Linked DNA regions of Mus musculus. The protein of the gene in region 2 interacts with the protein of the main gene of each other region in a pairwise test. Links are inferred from orthologs where the notes say so. Each region holds a gene or a part of one and is shown on either strand. Other genes may lie near its edges.

Region 1 (3,804 bases), on a different chromosome or scaffold from region 2:
GTGGCCAAGGCCACCTAGACCAGCCAAACAAAAACTCTTCCTCAGAGTGCCAGTTTTGACCTAAGGGATGACGTGGGGAGCCTGACTCAGTAGGGTGTTCTGTCAGTTGCAAGCTCCCAACTAAGAGACTAACTAAAGAAGCTTTGTAGTTCGATGTGTGCTCCCAGCAAGGGGCCTTCTGGGAAGTGTAGTCTCAGCAAGAGGCCTTCTGGGAAGTGTAGTCTCACACACTCATTCTGGAGGACGTGGTTTCCAAGGAACATGGGGCTGGCTTCTTGTCACATGTTGTAATTGTGTTTATCCTTGGATAATTTAACACGGACACACACCACCACCAACAAAAAAGGACACCTAAGCAAAGTAGGACAAGGCTCACCTCACCGTAGGGCTCAGAGCTCTGTGCTCCCCAGCCTCCTGCCATGCTGCTGGTATCACTACTAGATACAGGGTCCCTAGCTGTCAGAGAACCTGGTACTGGCTGACCTCCTTTTTTCCCTTCCTGTCTTGTAATGTAGGAACCTGCCAGATGTGTCTGCTAAGGACTTTGAGAAGGTCGATCTGACCCGGTTCAAGTGGATCCACATTGAGGCAAGCCCTTCCCTACCTGTGTTTCTAGGGGCTTAGCCTGTCAGGCCCTTCTGCATGGTCAGCCTCTTCTGTAATTTCTTTGAACCATGAAATATGGTAGGGATACTAAATAGCTCTCCCCATCCCTCTCCACTCCTGTGTTTTCCTATGAGGAAACTGAGGCCCAGAAAGAGAGATACAGGGGCATACAATCACAGATAGCACTGGGCAGAAGACCCCATTTTTGTGTTAGGCTACCTCCCTCCTGGTATCTGCCTTTGCTGACTTCTTTTACTTCTCAGGACAGGAAGGACAGGAAGGAGAGGGTCTGGAGGGAATTAGAACTTTCTTTCCAAGGGAGAAGTTTTGGGATCAAGATGAGAGGAAATCTTAAGAAGTGCAGGCATCCACTCCTTGTCTCATCATTTGACTTAGTCTTCAGGTTGTGTCCCTCTCCCTCTCCATCTCTTCTTCACTTTTCCTCTCCTTTCCCGTCTCACCTCCCTGGTCCTTCTTTCCCTCTTTGTCTCATTCTTGTTCTCTCTGTGTGTTTTGTTTGTTTGCTTGCTTGCTCTTTGTTTGACACATGGTCTGGCTATGTAGACCAGGCTGGCCTTGAACTTACAGAAATCTGACTGATTCAGTCTCCCAAGTTCTGGGATTAGAGGAGTGTGCCTCCACACCCAGCCTTTTTCTTTTTTGCTTCTTTTTCTGTCCCGCCTTTCTAGTGTTTTACTATGTAGCCCAGGCTAGCCCAGAATTCACAATCTTCCTGCTTCAGCCTCTCAAGTGCTTTGTTCACAGGCATGTATGTCCAGCATCTTTTATTCTTCAGTCTCATTTGGGAAATGAAAAATTTGGCCAATAAGGTCTCCAAGGTCCATGACAGTCCTAGAATTATGTAGCTGCAATAGTGCTCCAGCCCAGCTTCCTCCAATCCCTCTCCCTGCTCACCCAGAGGTCCATCAGGGAGGAAGGAATGAACTCTTTATCAGCTAGGCTCTGAGCTGCCCTGTCCTGCCCCAGGGCCGGAATGCATCGGAACAGGTGAAGATGCTGCAGCGGATAGAGGAGCACAATGCCAAGCAGCCTCTGCCACAGAAGGTCCGGGTGTCGGTGGAGATAGAGAAGCCCCGTGAGGAGCTCTTCCAGTTGTTTAGCTATGGTGAGGTGGTAAGTGTCCTGCAGCTCCTCCTGCCTATCTCTAGCTAATTGAATCTTAGAGCTAGAGAGGACCCTAGTCCTGCCTACCAGCCTCTGAGTGACAGCCTAGCAGCTCCCAGAAGACCACAGCTGGGAGGCTGGAGGTGACCCAGAAGTAGACTTTTCCCGCTCAGGTGAATCCACAGGTGTACGGCGGACAGGGCTCAGACAGCTATGGGCGTCCCTTGTTTGTCTGCTTTAGTCTTTCCCTCTGCAAAAGAAGGAATGACTGCTCTCCGAGTTACCAGTTTTTCCCACTTAGATGGCATGTTGTGAGGGCCAGTAGCAATGAGAGGAGGATGGGAAGGAGACTCGTACAAGGAAAACTTAGGCCAGAGTGTAAAGGGTATCACTGCTAAAGCTGGTTGGACAGTGTCCAGATGTAGTTTGTTGGCCTTGTTGCCCAATTAAAAAATATGGCAGACTGATCCCCATTCCCCCAGAACTATTCTAGGGACTCTGTCTTGAAGCCACTGTGGAGAGAGCCTTGTTTTACAGATGAACCCACTCTGCAGGGCTGGGCTGTGTGGGGAACAGATGAAACACAGCTCACTCTTGAGAGTCAGTCTGGCTTGACTTCACCCCAAGATGGCGCTCTAGGCTCTTTCTGGGTTTTGAATTCCCTCATGCCAGAATGAAAATACCAGGGCTACAGTATCACAGTTCCCAAGGCTGTATTTTGGCACAACTTAAGCAAACATAAAACGCGTACCTGTGGGTCAGCAAGAAGCCACACTAGGGACTTACGTGACTGAGTTGGAGGAGTTGTGCTATAACCTGGAGTCAACACCAGGTTGTTGGTAGTGAGTAGCAATTAGAGGTGACTACCAGTCTCTTTCACTGCCTACAGGTGTTTGTCAGCAAAGATGTGGCCAAGCACCTGGGGTTCCAGTCAGCAGTGGAGGCCCTGAGGGGCTTGTACAGTCGAGTGAAGAAAGGGTGAGTTGGGAAGCCAAGAAAGGGTCTGAGGGGTCTGGGGGATGACGGGGACTAGCGCCGATCTGTGTGAGTCTTACAGGGCTACGCTTGTCTGTGCCTGGGCTGAGGAGGGTGCCGATGCCCTGGGCCCCGATGGTCAGCTGCTCCACTCAGATGCCTTCCCACCGCCCCGAGTAGTAGACACTCTTGGGGCTGGAGACACCTTCAATGCCTCTGTCATCTTCAGCCTCTCGAAGGGTGAGGTCATCACCATGCAGCCAGGGCAGGGCTGGGCCTGTCATGCTCCCAAACACCAGGCTGAGCCTGCTATTTGTCCTTTCTCCAGGAAACAGCATGCAAGAGGCCCTGAGATTCGGGTGCCAGGTGGCTGGCAAGAAGTGTGGCTTGCAGGGGTTTGATGGCATTGTGTGAGAGGCAAGCGGCACCAGCTCGATACCTCAGAGGCTGGCACCATGCCTGCCACTGCCTTCTCTACTTCCTCCAGCTTAGCATCCAGCTGCCATTCCCCGGCAGGTGTGGGATGTGGGACAGCCTCTGTCTGTGTCTGCGTCTCTGTATACCTATCTCCTCTCTGCAGATACCTGGAGCAAATAAATCTTCCCCTGAGCCAGCTTTGTCTGTCTGTCTGTCTGAGTGGGGTTTTGTTTGTTTGTTTGTTTGTTTTTTTATTGGTTTTCTGTTCGAGATAGGGTCTGGTCGTGAAGCTTAAGGTTGATCATGAACTTGAAACGCTCCTGTTTCAGCCTCCCTGTGCTGGGATCCCAGGCCTGGCTCATTCGCCCTCGTGGATCTTCACCCTGCTCTGGTTGGAACTGAGGTTCTGACACTACACTCCAGCAACTTTTCTCTTCCTCCTTCTTCATTCTTTAAATAGCCTCACCCACTAACCCAGCGGGGAGGGCATGCAGTCCAAAGCAGCTGGCGTGCTCCCACCTCCTGTCAGCTGTGCTCCCACCTCCTGTCAGCTGTCATCAGAGGAGTTTCATCCAGGTCAGGGAGAACAGACAGCCAGAGAAAAAAAGCCCTCCAGACTCTTTGAGCCATGCAGACTGTGTTAGCTGTGGTGGTCAAGGAGCCTGCTTTCTGGGTTTATGG
Region 2 (4,557 bases):
CTAAGTCCCCCTCTCATTCACACGGTTCCTTTATTCTCTTCTTTCTTCCTTTCCTTCCCTAGCCCCTTTCCCCAGCTTCTTCTCCTCAGCCTTCCTTCCAGATTGGGTTAAAGTTCCACGTGGAGCCGCCTGGGTGGAGGGAGGCGGCGGTGCCGCGGGGTGCTTCTCCAGCTTTCTAGACAGAAGCCCCGATGCTCGCCCGCAAGCCCGAGAAGTGGTGGTGAAGCCGAGACTGGCGAGCAGGCAGAGAGGAGCGGGAGCGGCCAGGCTTTCTTCCCTTTCGGATTAAGTTCCCGTCGCTGCTCCTGGCATCACGATCCTAGGACTCCCCCCACCCCCACCCCGTGGTCGTTTCAGTGAATCCACAATATCAGAGTATTGCGGTATTGTGGACACGTTTTAATGGGTCCAGAGGGAGGGGAAGGGCCGAGCTAACTAGAACAGAGGGCGACAGAACAATACCATCTCTTGTGAGGAGCAGTCTGCCATCCTGCCTGTTAGTTCTCACTTCCCCGCCTCCACCCAGAGCCTCTTTCACACCCTTCTAAGTGTGTGGAACACTAGCGGCTATTGCCTCGTCGTCCTACCCTAGTCGGGCATCCAGCTCACCCAAGACCTGTGCACGGTGACAAATTCCAAAGGGGACTCTAGAATTCCAAGTTTACCTTCAATCTAGAATTAGGTAAAAGAGTAACCCGCTCCACGGTCAAGGTTCTGTTAAGTATACAGTCTACAAAAGCATGTCCTGGCCTGTACACTCGAAAAATTTACTATATATATGTATATATATATATAGTAAATATATATATTTCCAAAAGTATTACTCAGAAAAGTAGGCTCTCCACGCCCCTTTTTCACTTTGGTGGACGTCTCAGAGCCTGGTGGCACCGCCTGCCCTCGGGGAGGTTAGGCAAGCAGACAACTGTCTGAAGAGTGCTTTTAATAAGTAAGTTAAGAAGAGATGGGGAGCAAGGGAGCATACATTAAAAGTACCGTTTCCGTGGAGTGATTCAAAGTCTGTGGGGTTTTTATACATTTCTGGTGACAGTCTTGTAAAACGGGGATTTAAAAAAGTCTGTAGATGAGAAGGAAACTTAAGGTTTGGAACTGATCTTCTGTGCACTCCTGGCTGGGGTCGGATAAACTAGGATCAAATCCAGGATGCGGACAATAAGGGCTCCTTTACCGCTTTGAAAACATGACTGTTGGGAACTCTTGGAAAGATGTATGCTTGAGGGTGTGTGTGTGTGTGTGTGTGTGTGTGTGTGTGCAGGCGCGCATGTGGGGAGGGGGTAAAGACCCCCTCCTTCTGCCTTTCCCCCAGTCCCCCACCCCTTTGTAATGTTTGTCCCTGCTTGCCCATCACCAGGGGGTTGAGAGGAGGTATGACAGGTCTTTGTTGTCTGAATAAAAATCCGTGGCAGCTCCAGGGAGAGGACTCCTCCTACTAAATTATCAAAAATGGGCTGGCTTTAGTCTCTTAACAAATTGGACACAGCTCCGGCTGGAGCAGTCCCCAACGCAACCTACAGGCACTGGGAACTTGCAGGCAGCCGGGGACCGCTGAATCTAGCACTTCGTTCTCTTTCTTTGTGTTCAAAACTATTTTTCTTTCTTCCTTAGATTTTGTTTTCCTCCCCCCCACTTCAACCCCCCTCGGCAGTTGTTTTCCATTAGTAACTCGATCTCTCGCTGCAGTTAGAATCGCCTGCTTTTCCCTCCGTCCGCGTTTGTTTGTTTTCTGCACATCTCCTTCTGGAAAACCCTGGATATCCCCCCCCCCCGCCCCCTTCCCCGTCGTTCTTTTGCCTCGGTCTTTTCCCTCTCAAGTAGAGCTATTTCTACTCTGTCGTTTTCTTCTTTCCTCTCTTGTCCCTGTTCCCCAACGCGTCTCTACGCTTCTGCATCGCGCAGCCCTGTGCGGTCGCTTTTGCTTCTTCACTCGAATGAACTGAGAGCCCCAGGCGTGTGTTTATGGAAATAGTGGGGTGCCGAGCCGAAAACAATTCGTGTCCTTTCCGCCCCCCAGCCATGCTCTTCCACGGAATCTCCGGAGGCCACATCCAAGGTATCATGGAGGAGATGGAGCGCAGATCCAAGACTGAGGCCCGTCTGACCAAAGGCACTCAGCTCAACGGCCGCGACGCGGTAAGGACCAGTCCGGGCGCGGCGCCCGGGAAACAGCGAGTCTCCCGGTCCGCCCAGGTTGGGGATGGCGGGTCCCGGGGACTTTTGCCTAGGGATGTTCGCAAGGTTTTCACGAGAGGCGTGCTTGCTAGGCAAGGTTCCCTTTCCGAATCGAGGTGTCTAAGATGTTGTAGTCCTGAGCTCTCCAGTCTTTGTATAGCAGCTGATCCCGAGCCGACAGGGCAGCGGGCCTTGGAAGGAGCGGGCGTGCTCCCTGCCAACCACAAACTCCAGTCTCCCGCGACCTGGCCGCCAGGCCGGATCCGCCCGCCCCCAGGGCAAGCCTTGGTGCAGTTAATAGGGGGACTACTTACCGGCCTGGCGTCCTTGCCCTGGGATAGAAGACAAGACCTTCAGAGTAGACCTCAACGTTCTGGTCCTTTTCCCATTCTTCGGAGCTCAGCACCCGAAACCAGAGATTGTTAGGGGCTCTGCAGGACAGTTCAGCTGCTCTGGTCGTCACAAAAATTGCGTTTCTCTTCCTTATGGGACCAGTGTATTGGATAGTGGGAAATCAAATCAAATAAAATGCGAAGGAGCGGGTCCCTAGTCTAAAAGCAAGAACATGAGCGCTACAACCTCAAGAGATGGAATCTACTATTGCGGTTCCTATTCGTAACAGCAGTTATTATGTCTTCGTGAAAATACTAGTAACCTAAACATGTCCCCCTTCCACGCACCAAAGGGGGAAAAAACTACAGAAGTCTGCGGAGATGATTCCGGGCAAAGAGTGCTTTGTAGACCCTCTGTATAACAGCAAGGACTGTAGCTCAAACTGACCCGAGAGGGCTCTAGACAAGAACAGCGAGGTTTTGGGATAATAGTCCACTGTCGCTATTTGTATAATTAATTCAGTGAGAATCCAATATCTGAGTAAAGGACGAAATTTATCCTTCCCATGCCCACCAGAATGTAATAAGGGAAGCCCGGACTGTTTCTGCTAGTCTGAGGAAAGGGTCCAGCGGTGAACTTTTTACTTGTAATGGCTACTTTATTTTAAAAGCGGCAACCACATCCCAACTGTGTTTCTCAGAATAAGTTTTACCGCCTTAGCTAGCCTCATTTGGGAACTAGGTCTTAGTTTGGGAATCAAAAATTCAAGATAATTATCTGTGCTGTTTGTGCTGGCTAGAGAAAAGAGCGAGTGTACGGAAAAGAATGGATGGGGCTCTTCTTTCAGGACAGGCACTTCACTTTCTCACCAAGGATAGGGCTAGGGCGACGGCCTTAACAGCAAGAGCTGTTAGGTATGTCCGAATCACAACGACGGCCAAATTATTCTGCCTATATAAATTAAAAAAAAAGGAATTATAGTATTGTCTGTGTATAAAAGATTCACGTACTTCAGAATTCTAGTTCTCAATAACAGTTTGTTATTTTATTTTGTGTATTATTTGAAAGTTACACATTTTTAGCCTTAGTTATTCTCCTTCTGGACCGCCCATCAAAACATCCTGTAGGCTCTCAGCAAGCTCAAGATGTTGAGATTTTTTTTTAGGGTCACAAGGCTAGGAGGATCAGGATGCTAGGAAGGGGAACAGAATGTTGAAAATGGGGGGAAGTTGCAAATGTTTCTGTGGCCCTTGTAATGGTGTGCTGTTTTGCGCTGGGGTTGCCGTTCTGCCAGGACGTCCCGGGTTGTGCGGCAACGCCCCGAACCCACCCTCAGCCTTGCCTTGTGCTTGTTTCACAGGGTATGCCCCCTCTCAGCCCGGAGAAGCCTGCTCTGTGCGCCGGCTGCGGGGGCAAGATCTCCGACAGGTACTATCTGCTGGCCGTAGACAAACAGTGGCATCTTAGGTGCCTGAAGTGCTGTGAATGTAAGCTGGCTCTGGAATCTGAGCTCACCTGCTTTGCCAAGGACGGTAGCATTTACTGCAAGGAGGATTATTACAGGTACTGCCCCCACCCCCAGCCCCTTCACACACTCCTCTGACCCAATTCACCAGATAGAACCACTGCGATAGAGCCACTGCGAGAATCCGGAGTCCCTTCTCTGTCCCTTTTTTTTTTTTGGCTCGGTCAGAGTACAGGTGTGTGTGTGTGTGTGTGTGTGTGTGTGTGTGTTGTTTTTCGTAAATGAGGGAAATTGCCTTAAAACTGTGTATACTCCATTGGTGAGGATGGGCGAGAAGGATCCCAGGGTGTAATGAGTTTTATCAGGGTTCTCAGCTCTTCACAGCATCCTCCGGAAAAATCAGGGAGAAGAGGAAATGGACAGGTATCAGGTGAAGGAGACAATATTTTGTTGTTGTTGTTGTTGTGTTTTGTGGTCCCCCTCAATATGAATTGGCCAGCTCCCCCACTTTTGGCCCAGAAAGCAGCAGCCAGGTGGGTGACAATGGTCCTGTAAATGCCTATGAAAAAGTC

The links.
Region 1: the proteins of Lhx9 (region 2) and Khk interact in binary tests that used the Homo sapiens proteins (3 or more experiments, as listed by UniProt). The two-hybrid records come from large-scale screens. The link is inferred for Mus musculus from reciprocal best matches to the Homo sapiens genes LHX9 and KHK.

What each region holds. Positions count from the first base shown.
Region 1 is NC_000071.6:30,927,928-30,931,731, forward strand, and holds the end of Khk (ketohexokinase), read left to right. Parts: intron 1-515; coding exon 516-588; intron 589-1,593; coding exon 1,594-1,740; intron 1,741-2,620; coding exon 2,621-2,709; intron 2,710-2,788; coding exon 2,789-2,946; intron 2,947-3,034; coding exon 3,035-3,120; 3' UTR 3,121-3,321; downstream 3,322-3,804. UniProt on the Homo sapiens protein: Catalyzes the phosphorylation of the ketose sugar fructose to fructose-1-phosphate.
Region 2 is NC_000067.6:138,839,399-138,843,955, reverse strand, and holds the start of Lhx9 (LIM/homeobox protein Lhx9), read left to right. Parts: upstream 1-1,511; 5' UTR 1,512-1,974; coding exon 1,975-2,148; intron 2,149-3,880; coding exon 3,881-4,083; intron 4,084-4,557. UniProt on the Homo sapiens protein: Involved in gonadal development.